Lepisosteus oculatus: one gene and its partner. The protein of the gene in region 1 interacts with the protein of each later gene in a pairwise test. Links are inferred from orthologs where the notes say so. Each region holds a gene or a part of one and is shown on either strand. Other genes may lie near its edges.

The links.
Region 2: the proteins of skp1 (region 1) and fbxl8 interact in binary tests that used the Homo sapiens proteins (3 or more experiments, as listed by UniProt). The link is inferred for Lepisosteus oculatus from reciprocal best matches to the Homo sapiens genes SKP1 and FBXL8.

Annotation. Positions count from the first base shown.
Region 1 is NC_090706.1:23,940,345-23,950,568, forward strand, and holds the start of skp1 (S-phase kinase-associated protein 1), read left to right. Parts: upstream 1-5,446; 5' UTR 5,447-5,557; intron 5,558-6,291; coding exon 6,292-6,388; intron 6,389-7,089; coding exon 7,090-7,163; intron 7,164-7,732; coding exon 7,733-7,876; intron 7,877-9,479; coding exon 9,480-9,620; intron 9,621-10,224. UniProt on the Homo sapiens protein: Essential component of the SCF (SKP1-CUL1-F-box protein) ubiquitin ligase complex, which mediates the ubiquitination of proteins involved in cell cycle progression, signal transduction and transcription.
Region 2 is NC_090715.1:940,372-950,372, forward strand, and holds fbxl8 (F-box/LRR-repeat protein 8), read right to left. Parts: upstream 4,623-10,001; 5' UTR 4,294-4,622; coding exon of another isoform or gene 4,277-4,293; coding exon 4,236-4,276; intron 3,694-4,235; coding exon 3,550-3,693; intron 3,346-3,549; coding exon 3,250-3,345; intron 3,090-3,249; coding exon 2,108-3,089; 3' UTR 1,882-2,107; downstream 1-1,881. Other genes in the region: tradd (tumor necrosis factor receptor type 1-associated DEATH domain protein), read left to right, coding at 8,398-8,418, 8,553-8,703, 9,566-9,846. UniProt on the Homo sapiens protein: Substrate-recognition component of the SCF (SKP1-CUL1-F-box protein)-type E3 ubiquitin ligase complex.

The DNA of each region.
Region 1 (10,224 bases):
AAGGGATCCTAAACTGCTCTTTATATAGCAGTGAACCAACTATCACTGGAAGAGTAGCATCCATATGAGTGATCCATCATCACACAGCAGGTCAGGAAGAGAAAAGAATGACTTGAGCTGATTTAAGGGGTAATTTAGGGAGTTATGATTGTCTAAAAGTAGAATTTATCCAGGACACCAGGAGATGAACACCTATTGCATTTGCATCTTTAATGACCAAATAGCCTGCATCTTATTTTCACGTGTTGGACAACATCTTTTATAGCTCCAGGTCACTGGTATGGAAATTCTGGTCCAACACGCATCTTATAAGGGCAACCTACTATATTCTTTTTTTGAGGTCTTCTGAACTTAAGAGGCCGAACTTTGCTTTGTTTCCGAGATCTGATCTGTGGAGTGCAATGGGTGAAACTACCGGATTGAGCTGTTTGGGATTCATCTGTATGCACAGCAGTCCAAGTGGAAACCTCTCTAACCCAGATGGTCCTGTTGACGTGCACCTCAAAGGGGGTTAAAGGCAGTGGGCCAGGATTTGCATCTTCATTGTGCTGTCTTGTAAATCAAGAAACTTATTGGCAGGCAGTAGCCTTTTAACTTCATGTCCTCGCTCTCAAACATAACTTCACTGAAGTCTACTGTATGAGAAAGAAAGTGTCACAAATCATGTGCTTTAATTCATTTTGCCAGTAGGAGCAGTATCCTAGTGTTTTTCAGAACACTTTCATGTAGCCTGTTGTAAAATCATAGCTGTGTTGTGTCAAGCTGCATTTCAGAGATCTGTATTTGTAAACTCATGTCTTAATGCGTACCCCTTCAGGTAAAACCTCCAAAATCTTTGAAAGAATCGGTTTTCTTTAAAAGTTGCCAGAAACTAACCGGGTTCTTTGTCGAGTTTTAATGGCTGTTTGTCTTTTTAAAACTGGGGTTGAATCAAGCTGTTTTATAACATCCCTTCTCTTTGGATGCAATCTGGCTTCAATTATTTAAATATCAAACGCTGAGAAAAACTGGAATGGCTCACGTCCAAATAATGTAAGCAGTTCTTGAAGAAAGGCAGCAATTAGAAGAACTGTTTCCATGTGTGACTACCTTTGTGATTCCTTTTCCATTTTGAACAAATCTGTTCAATTTCCTTCTGTATAGATTATTAACAGAAGTTGAAATTGTTTATCAAATTAATAATAGTTCTGACGAGATAAAAGACTGACATTTTACTCTGGTTACATAAAATAATCAGAACCTAGACTCAATTATTTGGATTTTTTGTTTGTGAGCCAGACCTCAGTTATTAGCTCACATTTTCACCAGATGAATGCAGATGCAGCTTCTAGGATAGCTTTTGTCTCTCATGGGGAGCTATGGGGCCCTGCATTCAATTCCTGGGGTGCTGTCTGTGTGGGGTTTGCATGTTCTCCTTGTATTCACATTGCTTTCCTCCCACAGTCCAAAGACGTGCTAGTAGGTTAAGTCTCCTGTAAAACTGGCCCTGGTGTGAGAGGGTCTGTGTCTGTGTGTGCACTACACTTGACTGGTGTATCCTGCCTTGTACCCAATGCTTCCCAGTAAAGGCTCTGCTCCACCATCCTGATATGGATAAGCAGTTATTTAAATCATTGGTGGTGGTGATTATGGTTAATTCATGGTAAACTCACACTTGTATAGTGCAAGAATAGCTACATCTCTCCACAGAGTATTACACCCTATCACATTTTACTGGTCACACGTAAATCAATTTGTAGAGACTTCAAAGTATATGTGACATTTGAGAAATTAAAAAAAGTGAATTTGTTTAATTAGGAGAGGAAGGCTGTCAGGTGTGGTCATCACCCCAGTTTGGGCATTCACCCTTTATGTGTGCTGTTCCTTATTCACTCACTTGATAAACCAAGAAACTGACAGACAGTTCATGTTCTGGGAGTCAAAGCCACGCCACACCAACCCAGGAAAGTCAATTCCATATGATCCATCTGCAGGGTTTTCAGACTATAGTGGCTACAGCATGAGAAATGGCTCGAGGAACCAGTGCATCAGTGCAATGACTGCAGCCCATCGACTGCATTTGCATGATCTGCATACTTCGTGGGGTAATGTTGACAGCCAAGAGGTGAAATCGCCATCCTCTGATCCAGAGCACAACTTTGGTGGTGCTGAAGAGACTAGTGGAGCCATTTTGCTCTTCACAGACCTGGTGGTAGTGGGTGTGTGGAAATGTCGGGGTGAGTGCTATGTTTATTGTTGAGTTTTTCAAGCCAACCAGTGGGGTGGTGAATATTTGAGGACTAGAGTAGGAACCTCTTTCAACACAAGGACACCTCTGGTGCAGACTAAGGGACACCTTACTTCTCAGAGCTACTTTGATCAATTCTTTCCGTTGCAATAATAATAAAAAACATTATGTTATGTAACGCCTTTAAAGGTGGTTCTCAAGGCGCTTTACAGAACAACGGGAAGATTAAATACACAATGAGGAGACGGTAGATGGGAGTACTGAATACGGTATATGCAGAGGGGTATATAACAGAACCAGTTAAGTAAGAGAAAGGTTTTGAGTGTAGATCTGAAAGATTTTAGGGAAGGTGACTCTGATATCCTAAGGGATAGAGTTCCAAAATTTTGGGGAACAACAGGAGAAGGCCCTTTCACTCATAGTGTGTATATGGGCTTGGGGGACAGATAGGAGACCAGAATTAGAAGAGTGGAGGTTGCAAGGTGGGGGTAGGACGATGGTAGCTCAGACAGGTACTGAGATGCTAAGCCATGGAGAGCCTTACAGGTGAGCATGAGAATTTTGAAGTTGACACTAAACCTGACTGGAAACCAGTGCAAGGACTCCAGGATAGGAGTAATGTGATCACTTGCACTTCTGTTATTCGCTGCTACAGGACGGTCTTGAATTGTTGGCTTTTTTCACAGAATGACAGCACATCGCTCAAATTCCTATGGTACCCCTTAACGAACAGGTGAGATCTTGCCATTGTCATCTTTTTTCTCCTGTTCTGAGCATCTTTTGACATCTGTGGGGAAAAACAATGTCATTGACAGGAGACAGCCCTCCGCTACTTGCTGAGTTTGCACAGGAAGAGCGAGAGAATATCTGCTGTATAAGTCAACACTGCAAGCCATGTTTGCATTAATGTGCAATGGAGTCATACCCGATAACTCGCAATGTTTTTTTTACACTGTCACGTTTAAGACTGAACACTTGTCATGAGTACCTGATCTGTAATCATTGATCTGGTGTGTGTCTAAAAGTGTTCAAGATTCACAAACTTGTCGATATTCTGTATTCTTTCTGTAGGTAATTGTTTGCTGTTTCACTTTGGGATTTCTTGCTGTTTCACTTAAGGATTTCAAATCTATGTTTTCCTTTAATAATTCTACTTGGGGTTTAGAAATCTAAAAGGATAATATATGTGGAATAAAAATATGGTGGTGTGATCCTTACACATTTTGAAGATTACTCCTGCCATCTGGTGGCCAACCGGCCTACATCTGTCTCATGTTCCAAGTGTCTTAAAAGTTGAATTACGCAATTATTACTAGAAATGTGGATTCACACTTAATTATGATTCATTTAAAGATTAACCCCAAAGATTATAAAGATTATAAACATGAATAGAGTGTGAAAGAAGTGTTTTTATGTCCATATCACATTAAATAGTAGAAACTTGATTTTCTTATTTAGACTTAGACATTTTACCACCATGTTAATGTATTCACTACCACATTGACTGTTTAGATGCTGAAAAGCATTATTCATTTTGCTGTTAGGAATTTTGGCTGATGGCTTACATCGTCAATTCATTAGCACTTCTGAAAATACAAAATATTTAAAGAAATATATTTATTCTAGAGGGGATATTGGTGAAAGTATCGTTGAATCGTTTTCTAATTTTTGATTGTCAAATTGGGTACAAAATTCTTATTTTGTCTTACAGATCATTCAAAGAAATTCACTGAGATTATAAAAGAGCACTCTTACTGAAATGATTGAGATAAGTGACCACATAATTCTTTATCACAGGGACAAGCAATATATCTCTAGTAGGGCAGGTGTGTCTAGTGGTTAACTATGTGTCTTGGAAATAGCAGCACCTGAAGAGCTGGAATATTGTTGATGTGGTCCTATTAAGTCAATAATGAGCTGATTTAGGATAAGATCAGAGATGGAATAAAATCCTGAAGACTCACCAACAGTCCTGCACCAGGATTGGCCACACCAGCAAACATAATTATCTAGTTAAGATAGTTAAAAAATAAATCCATCCATTTTCTAACTGCTTCTTCTAATTCAGGGTTGTGGAAGAGCCAGAGCCTATACCCGCAAGCAACAAGGGTACACTCTGGACAGGATGCCAGACCCTCGCAGGCAGGCAGACAGACACATACACACACTCACATTCACATCAGGGCATGTTTTCCAAAAAACCAATTAACTTACCAGTGTGTTTTTGGACTGGTTTTGGAGCACCTGGAGAAAACCCATGCAAACCCCACGCAGATAGCATCCCTGGTCTGGGCTCAGTGGTCTGGGCTCAGGGCCTAAGAGCAGCAAGGCAGCAATGCTAACCACTGCACCACTGTGTCACCCAAATACAAAATAAACATCTTGGCTTAAACCGGAATTGTCTCTTTTTTGGAAATAAAAGTAATCTGAACGTGCACTGGTACTGGTATGACATTCTTCAACAATAATGGGGCATTGTTATTGTTCACTTTTAATCCCCATACACACAACAGAATAATAAAATTAGAAATGTCAAATTAATTTCACTCTGTAGTGATAAGGCAAGTGGCAGGAAGAGCTACAGGTGAACCTAATCAACACAAATTTCCTAGATATGAAAAAAATCAGAGGCAACCTATAACATCAAATTAGTTATTACATCATTATACACATAACATTATTATAATGTATCCAAATCTAGTTATCAGTAACAATATAATTTATTTTTTAGCTCTCATCAGTGATTTACGGGGTAGATAATTATTTATCTATATGAATCAATCCCAAATAATACAATGTTTGATGGAATAAATCAAAGGACTCAGGTTAAAAAGTGACTCAACTCAAACAGTAATATATTTATAGCAGTATTTTTTTTCGACAAGTGGCAAGAATGATCGGATTATTTAACAATACAGCCGATATTTTACAAACTCAAAATTGAAAGGATCAGAAAACGCAAGACCAAGAGGTTTCGTTTTGAAAAGACACATCACTCCTCCATTTACTGCATATTCTAGAATAACGCTGATTGCAGTCTGGGTGATTGCCTGAACCATAAATAAGAAGATATTTTAAATCAGAAAATCTAAAAGTAAAGAAGTAATATTATTTTATAAATAGTCAAACTGGTAATGTTTAAAACTAATGCAACGTCAATCAAATTAAAAAAAACATAGACCGCCGTGACATAAATTAAACCGGCAATATCAGAAGACAGCTAACTTCGTCGTCTTTCGCATACAAAAGCAACGGATTATAGTAGTAGTTGCTGTATTTGGGCCTTGCTATCGTGTCGTCTTGTTTTTGTGAAATAATACCATATTCACCGTAAGTCAGTAGCTGAATTGATATGTATACTATACGTGTTTTGTTGTTTTTTTTTATTTTAAGCAACCTCTCAATTTATCTGTCTGGCTTAAAACAACAACTGCTTACTGTAATGAATTACTGTTGCTAAGAGAGGCCTTTCTCGTGAGGCGCTTTCTTTATCGAGAAACGTTCCGTGTTGACGTTTAAATAATTGGCTTTTTAAATTCAGATATGTTATATAAAAAGTTCTATTATGGATTTTTAGCCATAGTGGTGTGTTTCTAAATTAGCGAAACCTTGGGTATAAGTGGTGGTAACGATATTAATGGCATTCTTCAAAATGCTAAGGTAGAAAGCTAAATTGGTTGTACAAAGAGCAAAGGGTAGTCTTTACATTATTTGTATAGTGAAACCTGTAAAGGCATATTTAAAAGACCTTCAAATTGGTCTCTTCTGTATATTCGTGAGCTCAGTAATATCGTGTCCGCTTAGTCTGTTTTGTGGCTTCATTACGCTGAAAATCATGCATCATCATTATGACAAGAATGATTTTTTTTTACGTACACATTCAAATCCGTTGACAAATAACTTAATACTGAAATAATGGTAGTACTCAAACGTCTCGATTACTAAATATGTTCTGTTTACTTAAAACATAAGCCGTTTCTGTCCAGTATTGAGGTGCTTGGGGCTAAATACAACATTTAGTTTTAGCTAGATGTCACAAAATCTCCACCATATTTACTTTTCAGATGCCTACTATTAAACTGCAGAGTTCTGATGGAGAGATATTTGAAGTTGATGTTGAAATTGCGAAGCAGTCTGTAACCATTAAGACTATGTTAGAAGGTAAGAAGTTCACATAAACTCCTGTGTATGACGTTTTCATTGTTTAAACTGTTAAAACATGAATTTACAAAACCAAAGGAGATTTGTGAGAGGAAAGAACTTCTCAAAGCAGTACTTTGTAGTACTGAATTTGTTACTGTTAAGGAAATATTTTTTTTTCCTCTCAAACATAGCATGTTGCTGTAGAAAACAAGGGACTGTTGTCAGTTATCAAGAATTTTACATTATTTTGTTATAGTTATTTTGAATAACTGAATTTTGGGGAAGCATAATGGGCCTTAGTTTAAAGTTTTTTAGATAAGGGTCTGAGAGGATACATATAAGCTATATTTTTAAGGAGAGTGTCCTAGTTGTAATATGCTCTGTTCACTTTTTATAATCTGCAAAAGAAATAAGATTTTTTACTGTTGAGAATTGTAGTGTACAGCTAGAAACAAGTTTATTTTTAGTGGATTATGTAGAGGATTGCATAAAAGAAAAGCTTGGAAGTTAACAGGTTTATTTCTTCAAGGACAGAAGTTTGTTTTACCTTTTTTCCCCAGAAGGGGAACTGTGAAATGAATAATTGCAATGGTTGCCTAGTCTGGTTGTGTAAACAGACCTTTGGATCATTTATGGGTCCTCAGAATTTTAGAAAACCTGCTGGAAGGTAGATCTCATTTTCTGACATTGATATACTGTGTTCGCTAATTTTGGCACAGACTTAGGCATGGACGATGAAGGTGATGATGATCCTGTTCCACTTCCCAATGTTAATGCAGCTATTCTGAAAAAGGTAACGTTTTTTATTTTCTAATTTTAAATACAGTATGTCTGTACATATGGCTAATAAAATGGTCTTATATACAATTTCTTGCATTAGGAATTTGTCTTTTCGTATACCCCAGCTTGCTCTCCATGAGACATAGAGACAGGGAAAAATGTTTGGGGGTCAGAGCGCAGGGTCAGCCATTTATACGGCGCCCCTGGAGCAGTTGGGGTTAAGGGCCTTGCTCAGGGGCCCAACAGAGTAGGATTCCTCTGCCGGCCACAGGATACAAACCGGCAACCTTCCAGCCACAGACACAGATCCTTAACCACAGAGCCACCGCACCACCCATGTCTTTCCACGGGATAGTTTCTCATAATGAAGTAGTGAGTGTAGCTATAACATTTCGGCTGGATGTTAGATTAGCCCGTAGTTCCAGGGAATTCTGTTTCTTTGCTATGTTCTGGTATGTACTGTATGAAATGTATCCATGCTCCCTTCAGATAATTACAATTGAAATTAATAATATATATGAATTTATCTGAAAATTCCTTTCCGATTCCTGAAAACTTGTTTTTCTCCTTTTAATTGTTTAGGTGATTCAGTGGTGCACTCATCACAAAGATGACCCCCCTCCTCCTGAAGATGATGAAAACAAAGAGAAGAGAACAGATGATATCCCTGTGTGGGATCAGGAGTTCCTGAAAGTTGACCAGGGAACACTTTTTGAGCTTATCCTGGTGTGTATTATTAATTCTTCATTGGGTTTGAAAAGTGTGAACATTAATGTCTTTGTAGGTTATTTCAGGTACTTAATTGTCTAAGTGTGTGCTTAAGAGTTGGTAATAATTAGTTAGAAACTCAATAAAATTAGATCACTAGGCTCCTTGCTTTTGTTGTAATTTATAACAGCAGTGCAAATAGTTGTCCACTGAAAATATAATCCAACTTAGTGATTCAACTGTAAAGCACAAATTGGTTTCTTCTGCTTGTTTGTATGAGTGACTTGTGTTCTGTAAAAGTAGTTTTACTTGTAAGGCTGTTGTGAAATTCTTGGCTCTGATGTGGCTGTTTTGCAATCAGTATAGCTGTCCCACTCCTGTTTTGTTATGTAATACATACTTAATTTGTAATCTGAGCACATTTGACCTTTGTGAACTAGCTTTAAATGCTTTGCATCTTTTTCCAGTACGTTGCTTTACAGAAGTCAGTGTCATCTTATACACAATCAGGAGTTGCAGTTTCTATTTTAAAGCATCAACAAATTCCTCACAACCTTCTCTCATAACTCAAATAAGATCCCGAAACAGAAGCAAAACCTTGTTTAATGATGCTTTTCCAATACTTAATCATTTTAACTTGGTATGACAGTAGTTTGAAATAAGTTACAATTTTGATGTGTTTATGAAGAAGAGATTAAAACTGAGTCAGCATCATATACAAGATGGTGTACATGAAGAATGTGTTTGGAAGGCTGCAAATTTCAGTTTGCAGTGGACCAAAGTGAATGGAGCTGGAAAAATCATGGCGTAAAGATGTTGGTTGTTTTGAACTTGCTTTGGTCTACATCATGTGACATTGCTAGTCACAAACAAAAGTTCTTTAGAAATGTGCTATATCATAGGTTTTGTATCCTCTTCAACTGTTGGTCTTGCATTGAAAACTAGCAGTTTATTAAGATCATCTATAATTTCTAAATCCCTGATGATTATTGCTATAAAGATCTTTAAATTTAGTTTTTCCCATAATCTCAGAAGTTTTACTGATTTGTCTACTCGCCTTGTTCAGTATCTTTGTAATGGATAGATTTAACATGTTTTTTTTTTTCCAGTTGGTAAGAACAACCCCAGTTTTAAGAGCATGTGAAATATCCAAGTTAAAGCAAAATATATAACAAAATCTTTGAATCTTTAAGTGCTACTGGATGTCCAGCTGATTGGTTAAAATAAGAATGTTAGATTAAGCAGGGCCTTTTTTCAGATAGTTCTTTCAGGCATGCAAATCTTTAATCTTTCTAGTAGAAATGTGAAAAAGGTGTATTCAATACATTTGTGTTATAAAGTGCAGTTACTCACTTGCTAACCATTACACACTTAACTGTCTCCTTTACTGTTTTTAACAGTTATGGTAGTAAAAAAACCTTCTATTAGTTGTGGCTCCCACAGCAATACATTTATTAGCCTTTCTAATGTCCTGTTTTGTCAGTAATGACTGCCATTTTGTCAGTCATTAGACTGATTATGAACTGTTTCTCATTCCTGCAATATCGATTTGCCTGAAAGTATGTGCCTTCCAGAGTTTTGATCTGAATATAATGTTTTTACATGTATACATCTTTTCAAGGCTGCAAACTATTTGGACATCAAGGGACTGTTAGATGTTACATGCAAGACAGTTGCTAACATGATTAAAGGAAAAACTCCAGAAGAAATTCGAAAGACCTTTAATATCAAAAATGACTTCACTGAGGAAGAAGAAGCACAGGTAATTACTTCAGTTTGTGTGTAGACGTGGTTAACGTTGATATCCTATGCATTACATCCATCCATTTTCTTAACCGCTTCATCCAGTTCAGGTTCGCAGGAGAGCTGGACCCTTAACCTGGCAAGCCACAGGGACAAGGCAGGGTACACTTTGGATAGGACACCAGTCCATCACACGGCAGACACACAGACGCACAATGACAGATACACACATTCTCACCAGGGCTACTTGTTTTGTGTTTTTTTTTTTTAGACCGTAGGAAGAAACCCATGTTAACAGAGAGAACATATAAACTCCACATAGATAGCACCTGGACTTGAACCCAGTGCCCCAGTGCAGCGAGGCAGCAGTGCTAACCACTGCACCACCGTACTGTCCTCCCACATATTGCAGTTGTATATTAATGTCCTAATATGGTGATTTGCTGTCATGTTAACAAGCAGAAGATTCCATATCTGCACGAGAAGTGTGTATATATAGAAGTGGGGGAGTTAACACTGTTGTGTGATGAATGCAGTGGTTCCTTGGAAGGAATTATCATTTGAAAAGCATTAGGGGTGAATGGAAAATGTATTTATAATCAAAGTTTATTTGTGTTTATTAT
Region 2 (10,001 bases), on another chromosome or scaffold:
GGTTCCTAATGCCCCAGTATAGTGATGGAGACACAATACCGTAAAAAGGCACTGTCACTGTCCTTTGGCTGAGACATAAAACCGAGGTCCTAACTCTCTGTGGTCATTACAAATCCCAGGGTGTTTTCTGAAAAGAGTAAAGGTGTTACCCCAGCATCCTGGCCAAATTTCCCTCTGGCCCTTACCAATCATGGCCTCCTAATAATCAATGAACTGGCTTCATCACTCTGTTCTCCTCCCCACTGATAGCCGTCGCATTATCCAGGTGGGGCTGCACACTGGTGGTGGTGGAGGGGATCCCCATTACCTGTACAGCACTTTGAGTGGAGTGTCCAGAAAAGGGCTATATAAGTGTAAGCAATATTATTATTATTATTATTATTATTATTATTATAACTGTTATTTAACTAAGCACCTTAAAAGTGTTAGTAGCATGTTTATTTCAAAGCACGTAACTTTAACCAAAACCACAAAACTTGTTTCAAGAGCAAGAATTGACAGATTCAGCCCCATTACATTTCTATCATCATTCGTTTAGCCAACGCCTTTATCCAAGCTGACAAATTTAAAACCATTCCAGAACATGGTCCAATAGCATAAAAAAGAACAACAAAACACACATACAGTACGGCGCGCACAGGGGGGACATGAAGAGGTGGGCACAGAGCCCGCAACCTGATGTTTCTGAGCATCTGGTTCACCCACAGAGGTGCAGCGGAGGAGAACAAGCAGGACAAGAGGCAGGACACTGTGAAGAGGTATGGAGAGGAGCGTGCCAAGCATGGAAAGAGCTGCAAGGCTGGAGTGACAAAGCAGAGAGCCAGTGAGAAGTGTGAAACAGGTGAGAGCAAAGATTTATCCTTGAGCCCCAGAGGAACGAATACACTAAAATGTCTCATTTTCCACGGCTCAGGGCTTGTAGTTTTGCATGATCAATGTCCAGAGAGATCCCCAATAATCCAGATGTATTACACCAAAAGCTCTGTGGATGCAGTATTCCAATACTGGGAAACCTTAATAATTACCACAAGAAATCAGCATGTAAATCTGTGTTTGATAAAGTAACTCCACGCCATCAAAGAGGACATCAGACACTGTTTTGTTGAAATTTAATTAAATTAAGAGAATGACTTCATAAATACACTCTCCCATAACAATTTCAGCAACAGTTCGACTGCACTTCAAAATAAATACTGGATTGCTAATAAAACAAAAATCTGTTTCATAAATATAAGAGCTACATTTCATGATAAATCTAGGAAAAGGCACTGAAAGAAGGTTAAAACTAAACTAACATTTAGCAGTAACTCCAAGTAATCTATTGATTGAAAAATAGAAAAATAGATTAGAAAATACTTAATGCTTGTCATTTGTGTTTGTGTCATTTCTTTTGACCCTCTAAAACCATTGTCAACTGTCTATACTGTATACATTGTGTTAAATACCAGGCTTTTACACACACGTGAGAATAAGAATATAAAAAAGCATTACATCATACATCTATATTTCTGTAATCCATTCACTCTCACCTCCTCCTGAGGATTGTCACTATGAGACAGAGCCTCACCCAGATGACAAAGGGTACAAGCTGGGACTACGCTTAGACACTCAGTTTACCTCAACCACCATGGCTTCAGGAGTTGGGAGAAACAGGAAACCAGAGCACCCCAAGAAATCTAGGCAGACTTGGGGAGAACATGCAATGCCCACACAGAAGGTTCCCTTGTTCCGAATCTTAGCCAGCACCCAAGAGAATTAAGACAGCAGCACTCACCACCGGATGACCATACCAGCCACGTATATAAAATAAGCCACCTTTTTTTTCTAATTCCCCATGATGCACCAGACCATGTAGTTGACTATGAATAAAATGGAAACATCTGAATTTAAAGCCATTTTTATTAAGGGACTGTCTCTACCATATCACCATGAGCTAGGTTATTGAATCTGTGGGGGTCAGTGGGTTTCTCTAATCTCTCTGGCTCCTATGCTAGAGGCTAGCATACACAGAGATAGTGCTGTGCAAGTCAACTGAAAGACAATGGCATAAAACACACATACAGAAGGGAGGACCCAGCAGATCAGGTGTGCAACAACTTCTTCCTCTTCACCTGAGCACGGTGCACCTCCAGGGGTGAGGCTCCTTCACGGTCTTCAGCGTGTACCTCCACAGGTGGGGACAGCTGGAGAGGAAGGCCTGGACCACGTCCTGCGACACTACGCAGTAGCAATGGATCTCCCTGAGACCACCACAGCAAAGGGCCAGGCTGATGAGGGCAGAGTTCAGCTCTTCGGAGGAGGTTGTCTGGAGCACCAGCTTCTCCAAAGTGCTGCAGTAGCTCTCCGCCACAAAGCCGATCTCCCTCACCAGATAGGTGTATGTGATCAGCTCCAGGTTTTTGATCGGAATCCCAGGTTGCAGAATCTTTAGAATCTTCTTGGCAGGTAGAGTATGATTTAAGATGGTGTTGACGGAAAGCAAGGGGTGTCTGGCACACAGAGAAGTCCAGAACTCTTTGGAAATGGCAGGAATGTACTTGTCTGTGCGCTCGCAGTACAACTCCAATAAGGAGAATGGAGGTCGTTGAGGCTCCAGGAGAGCACTCAGCACTTTCTCTGACAAGCTGGCGTAGAAGACCCCAAGAACACGCAGCTTAGGACACAGTGCCAGCACCTCTTTAATTGTCTCCGCGGTCACATTGCACACAAGAGTCTGATTATTGATATACAGCTTTTGCAGGTCGGGGCTCCTTCTCGCAATGTTCCTAATCAGGGAGTCCTTGAGTGTAAAAGGCATGTCCCTGAAGTCCACCTCCCTGAGCGAGAGGCCGCTGGCTTTGTTCAGACAGACACTCTCAATGCTTCTCAAAATGTCCTCGCCAGAATAGAACAGGGGGAATTCACCGGTGCAGGAGACGCACAGGGTTCGGAGTCTGTTGTCTCGATCTGTGGCGTAATTTAAAATTTTAATGGCTGTGTTCCGGTTGTTTATTTCCTTTAGGTCACTGAGCACAATTTTCAGGCGCTGAACCTTCCTGAGCAGTTTGCAGAACTGCTGGAAGCCAGGGTCTTCTGTTCCAGACTCACAGCTGCAAGAGTGATGCAGATTGCAGATTTCATTAGTTGGATCAAACAAAAAAAGCCGAACACATCTGTTGCCTCTGTAACTATTTTGGTGTGTATATATTTGATAAACTATACACTTTTCCTCTTATATTGAGCAAAGTGGACTAGGAGCTGAACACTGACCTGCCTGACATTTTTTGCCTCATCAGCAGTGAGCAGCTCCCAGTTAGAGCTGGAGCTTCAGACTGTCCCATGCAACTCAGCTTGTAGCAACAGAACCTACTGAACCAATAAAGCTAGTTAACTTCTGAACAGGATGGGTGGCACCTACACTATGGCGAACACACCAACCAAACTGTGTGATTAACCATTCCAGGATGCTTGCATGTGGGGACTCAGCATAATAGTGAATTTTTATACAGTGAATATGTACACTACCACCTTTCACCTTTGGGTTTTACCCATTCAGACAACATGACCCACCTGACCTCAGTGCAGGTCCAGACGGAGGGGCTGGCCATCGTCTGGGACCATGACCTGCACACCTGGGAGACACTGTACCTGTCGCACATCGGCAGGAAGGAGAAGATCTGAGCCAGGATCTCCTCTGGTAACTCCACCAGGCTCCTGGGCACACAGAGGGGCTCTGATCATTCCCATACTTAGAAAACAGGAAAGATTTCAAAATAATATACAGCTCCCCGTTTTATTATTAATTTGATAACTCCGGCCTGTTTGACAGCCCACTTGAGAATGAGGTGAAGAGTGAAAGGTCTTGGGGGGAAGAGGTGGGAGACAATGTTTTGCTTAGATGAGATCAACAAGCTACAGTAGAAATAAAACTATTTAGAAACACTGAATTGTACCAACAAGTATGGCGGACTTCAGGTAACCCGCGGAGCTGCTCATTAGAGAACAGTGTATTTTTCTCTTTTCTGTCCAATTATGGATCAATCAAGGCGTGACAAGGGATTTTTAACAGTTGTGGAGGCTTACATCTTACACAGAGGATATAACTATCCCGAACAGAGTCTCATTGCTGGAGGTCAGACTGAACACATTTTACTCAGAATTCACTCATCACAGGCTTCCAACGCCAAAAGATTGTGGACCCCCCACTTCTGCTTCCATGTTTGTACTGTCCGTTGTGATTTGGCAAAGTATCTTACCGGTATTCCCGGCCACCCCTACTCTTCTCTCTGTCCTGCATAGCTCCCCTCTGCTCATCAGCAAGGCTGCTGTGTTCGCTACCGGCGTGACGTCACGACAAAACAAGGCCACAAAGGAAGGACCGCCCCCTGCGGGCACCCAGGCGTCTCCCTCAACCAATCACAGCTGGCGTCCTCCCTTCCTACTACGTAATTGGTGGCTGCTTCGCGAGATGACGATTGGAGGAGTTCTGCACTGATTCTGCAGTAGATCTTTTAAAGTTCAATTTCTCCGTAAAGTCAGCTGGAAAAATACATCAGGTGACACGGACACCAGAAGAAAGCGGTACACTTCAGTTCAGTTTCTCAAACTCTACTGCGCTGGAGCAGCCTCGCCTTCAAAACAACCGACGAGCGGAGGCGGACAAAGACGAGTGTGTGAATTGCTATAATGCTCATTCCACCCGCTAGCGCCACCTAGGCAGGAGGTGTGAAACACCCGTGTGTTACTCTGCGGGAATTCCGTGTAATGGAAAATTTCTTTCCATGGAATACAATCGTGAATTGTACGTATAGCAACATAAGTACGGACTTAACAGTTTAAACCTTAAGGGTTATGGTACACAAGCAGTATAAACATGTTTATGAGCAAATAAGAACGACTGCTAATGACATAGAACAATTACGGTGTTGTGGGTTTCTTTAATTTAACAAGTGGTCTATACAGACAATCGTGCTGTGCACTCCTACCAGATCCAAGACTGGAGATATTCGCCAATCATTCGACAAAAATGATTGTGTGTCATAATGGCACAATGAGGAAGGAATTCATAGTCTCATCTGAAATAGAGGAGAGCCTTCAGTCTGGTATGGAATGCTAAACATATTGGAAAACTGCAACATTTCTAAGACTGCATGGCAATTCTTTGGTTATGTTTGGTTTACAGTTGTTTAAGCATAGCTGGAAATGTTTTAAAACAAACATACACATTAAAACGGTATAGGCTAGTATATTTCTGACCCCAAGTCTATTTCCATTACACGTTCTGCAAAGGGATGTATGTCAGTCATGATTGCTATTGTGTAGTTCTGAGCAAGTGGAGTCTAGCATCTGAAAGTCCCAGATGCTTGCAGGCCCTTATCGTGTGGTGTCTGAGACAGGTTCAGTTTTCAGTATTAGATCCTGACTCTGCTGGGTTATTGTCAGAAGCACTGGAGGCTAATATAGCAGTACAAACAAGTCTCTTCTTTATTTTATGAAGTCTGTAATTAATTAATACATTTTTGAGGATATAGTGTTCTATATTGGATAATAATATTTTGTATCTGTTTTTCAGATATACCAAAAGAGAAATTCCTAATAGAGTGGAGAAATAAATATAAAATAAAACCAGGACAGTAAGGTGAAAGGTAAAGTATGTTTCCTGTCTTGTACAGTAATTACAGGGAACAGCTTGTTCCCAATAAACATTTCCACTTTTTTAGGAAATTATGGATCAGTGGGACCTTCGCAGACCATGACTGGTCAGGCAAAATCATTGCACAATAATGGAGAAAGATCGGCACTGTATTTTATGGAAAGAATTGGGCCATGTCGATCATGTCTTAGTCCAAAAACAATCCTAGGGTCAGTGATAATATGCTGAAGCATGTGTTACTGTCATAGACTACTATGAGAAAACAAGACTGTTCTGGAGAACAATTCTGTTATTTTTCATAGCTTGTGTACCTGTAGTGGGCCTCAGCACTCTGCATTTTCAAACCAAAGTGAAGTAAAGAGAAACAGTGACATTCAAGCTGATCTTTATTGTTTCCATTACAATCTCGTGTTGGAAATGTAAGCAGAAGATGAATGAATATCACTCACTTGTTTTATAACACACCCTTGGTTATGTATGACAAGACAAACACAGCATTCGTTGTATTTCTTTACATCTATTTTCATGCTCGTGAAACACCATGGGATTTAATAGCCTGCGACTGTCCTGCGATCTGTCAGCACCGCCTGCATGCTGACCGCTGCACAGAGCCGTTCCTCTGCGGGGCTGTCCAGTGTCCTGCGGCGCAGTCAGCCCTGCAGCCCAGCCGGGAATAGAGTGTCGTGAGTGGGTGTTATAAACTCTATTGGCCCAATTTAATATATCAAATTAATTTTTTTATAACTTGAGTTAACATGTCAAATTTCAAAGCTCACTTTCTGTATTCCTACTTTTACACAGGACCCTATCATTAGATAATAGCATCATTTTATCAACCCTTTACAATTTCTTGCATTAGGAGTTTGTCTTTTCGCATACCCCAGCTTGCTCTCCATGAGACACACAGACAGGGAGAGAAGCTTGGGGTCAGAGCGCAGGGTCAGCCATTGTACAGCGCCCCTGGAGCAGTTGGGGTGAAGGGCCTTGCTCAGGGGCCCAACGGAGTAGGATTCCTCTGCCAGCTGTGGGATTTGAACCAGCAATTTTCCAGCCACAGGCACAGATCCTTAACCACAGAGCCACTGCTCCACCCAGATATAGGAAGATATAAGAATGTATGTTCTTAGATATAAGAACAATCATTACGATTCAAGAATCCCCCCTGAGAAAGACAGGTAAATCAAGCTGCAGGTTAGAACTAAGAGCTAATGACCTAAAATGCATAGTCTCCATACAGCAGACCTGAAGTCTAGAATGCGGCGCTCGGGGCCAGCGGTCATGTGACCCGAGCTGCCCCCGTGCAGGGGCGGCCGCGCGTACCTGACTGTGGAGCCAGGGCCAGCCCGGCCGGCCGCGAGGGCTCGCTCGCTCGCTCGCTCTTCCGCGCTCCGGGCACTTCCTGGATCTGCAGGGCTCAGCCCGACCTGCAGCTCACGACTGCCGGAGCGCTGGAGCTCCTCTCTAATGAGCAACTCGTGCCCAGCGATACGCGCCGCCACACAGGAAATCGCTTTGCGTTGTTAAAGAGCGGTAAGTTGACGGGTATATTATGTTCATTTGTGATTTCACAGGTTATAATATATCCAGTTTCCCAGATAAATATATCAGTCTTTTTACGGTACCTTTATGTAAACATGCTTTGGAGTTCTCAAAGTTTACTTTCGGTTTTCCCTCTGTCCTAGTCCTGAGGGTAAAAAGCGCATGGTTTGAAGACGTTTCCCGATCGCATGTTTCTCGAAATCAAACCCAGATAAATGGATGCTAAGTTCAAACTGTGGAGATCGAAAGCTTTTAAGAAGAATTGTTGTGAAAGCGAACTCAGCCAGTTTGCGGTCATGGCAGTAGAGCAAAAGCGATTTCTGACAAGAGCAAGTAGACTCTTCAGAGTTTTAAGCAGCGGCCATTCTTACAGGAAACCTGAAGTGTACAGCCGGCGGATGGTGTTCAGACTGTACAGCTGTCCTCTTGGCAGCAGAGTCGCAGAGTCCTTCTCTTTTTCTGGTCATCAGGAAGAGCAGAGAGTGCGCGGGGCCTGAGGTCAGTCTCGAGCTGTCTCCGGACCTGCGGTCAGCTCGACACACCTGGCCATTGTGATGCGAGACCCACGGACCCACGGCTAAGAAGGCCCCCTGCTCTTGGCCCTGGAGCGACACATCTGTTCTCTCAGTAAAGGGGAGAGTTTCAGAACAGACGGCTTTCAACTTTGTTTTTGTTTACACGGCCAGTTTTTTAACGTTCACTTTGTTCGGGGTCTTCCTGTGACCCCTGACCCTTGTCAGTGGTTGAAATCCGTTAGTTTTCTGTTACAGCCTGTAGGCCCCTGTACTCAAAACCTCTGGCTCTCAGATCCCGGTGGGAACAGGAATTGAAGTGCCTGCATGGTATAAACGTAGGGTTCTGGTCCGGTTCCTGTGAGGTATCTGGGACCGGGCTGGCTAGCCTGACCCGTGCACCCTGGTTCTTCCGTGAAGGCTGGCACAGGCTCATGGGAAACAGGGCGCGCTCTCGCAGGAGAGTGCCAGGAGGGCGCTGTTGTGGTACCGATTGTGAGCTTCATGACGGGTTGCGGCCCGTGAGGCCCGGGGCAGGCGTGTTCCGGGTTGTGTCCAGTGCGGCGGTCCTGGCTGAAGGCAGGCCGTCCGCTCGCGCCGCGCTCCAGTCTTGCGCTCGCCGCCTGACGCTCCTGCTGGTGGCTTTTGCAGGAGTCATGGCATTTTAAGGAGACGCGGTCCGGGCGGAAGAGAGTGGACAGTGATGACCGGCCAATGGAAACGATGGAGGAAAAGGTAACTGTGCCGCAGGGCGGTGGAGGAGGAGGTGGCGGGTTTTTAAGTCCTTGCTCTGACCTGTGTAAGCAGCACACTGGCCTTTGCTTTTTTTTCACACAAGCTTTTAATCTCCTGTATGTTGTCATTTCCAGAAAGTGATGTCGGACTGCGCCGCTGGCGTGTGGTCGGGCAGCCTGTTCCTCTTCCTGTGCTCGTGCTCTCGGGAGGAGGATCTCACCGCGCTGTTCAGGGACCCAGAGAAGAGGTTCGCGGTGTTCAAAGCCGTGAAGCTGACGCTGTCAGGTGGGCGGCGAGACGCCTCTTGAGTGTCGGCCTGGCGATGGGGGAAGGCTTGCAAGTGTCTTCCTTCTCCTTGTCAGCCCTTGCCAAAAGAATTTTATTTGAGTAATCGTAGGACTGGGCAGTGGGAAGTCTTTCTTTAATTGAACGGTGCTGAAATCCGTTAAGCAAGTAGGGAGCTGACTGTTGCTCCGGCCTGAATTAAATCGTGGGCACCGTGCGCGGTGGCGATTTCCACCAGGAGCGGCAGGACAAGGCGGTCCAGTGAGGCGCAGTGCTGCAGGATGCTAGAAAGGCAGGAAGAAGTGAGGGGGACCCCAGTGACCAGACCCCAGACCCCAGTCTCCAGTGTGCGTGTCCACTGCAGGCTGTGAAACTGAACCACGTTTTACTTTGTTTTGAGTGCCGTGCCAGTTTCTTCCAGTTTCTCAATCTAATGGTTTTGTTCGGGGGCTTCCTGTGACCCCTGACCCTTATCAGTGGTTGAAATCCGTTAGCTTCCCTGTTACAGCCTGTAGGCCCCTGTACTCAAAACCTCTGGCTCTCAGATCCCGGTGGGAACAGGAATTGAAGTGCCTGCATGGTATAAACGTAGGGTTCTGGTCCGGTTACTGTGAGGTATTTGGGAGCGGGCTGGCCAGTTGACCTCTCGCAGGCCGGTGGGCCCTGGTTCTGCCCGTGATCACCTGATGCACACACACCTGTCCCATCGTCCTTGACCCAGGCTCTGTGGGGGCTGGAGGGACGCTCCTCTTGTAGTCACCGGCTTCCTGCAGGGTTCTGGAGCTGATCTGGTTTATTATTGTTTTATCTGCACGTTTCTGTGTGATGGTAAACATATTTTCATAACCTCCCCCTCCTCCAGATGCGGCAGGTGGCCTGGAGGGGTACGAGATTCTGAAGCTGCACGATGCCCAGCCCAGCCTGGGCATCCAGATCAAGTTCATGGATGAGGGGGTGTGCAGGAAGTTCCTGCAGAGCTACGCCAGCGGGCTGGTGCAGCAGTTCTTTGGCCAGCACCTGAGCCGGACACTGTCCGGCCTGAAGGAGCCCACCTTCGAGACCCAGCTCAAAGCTGGGAGTGAGACACTGGACAACTGCCTTCCAGATGTGGATCTTTGCCTCCATCATGTTAACAGGGCGCAGGTGAGAAACGGCTTTGTGCTTTATATTGTTTGTTTAACACTGGGCAGAAGTACTGTTTCAACCTTTCCCTAATGTGCAGCACAATAATACTAATCCATGTGAAGGGAGCAGCACAAACGGTAATATCATAAGGTTTGACCTGTTCCTACCCTTAA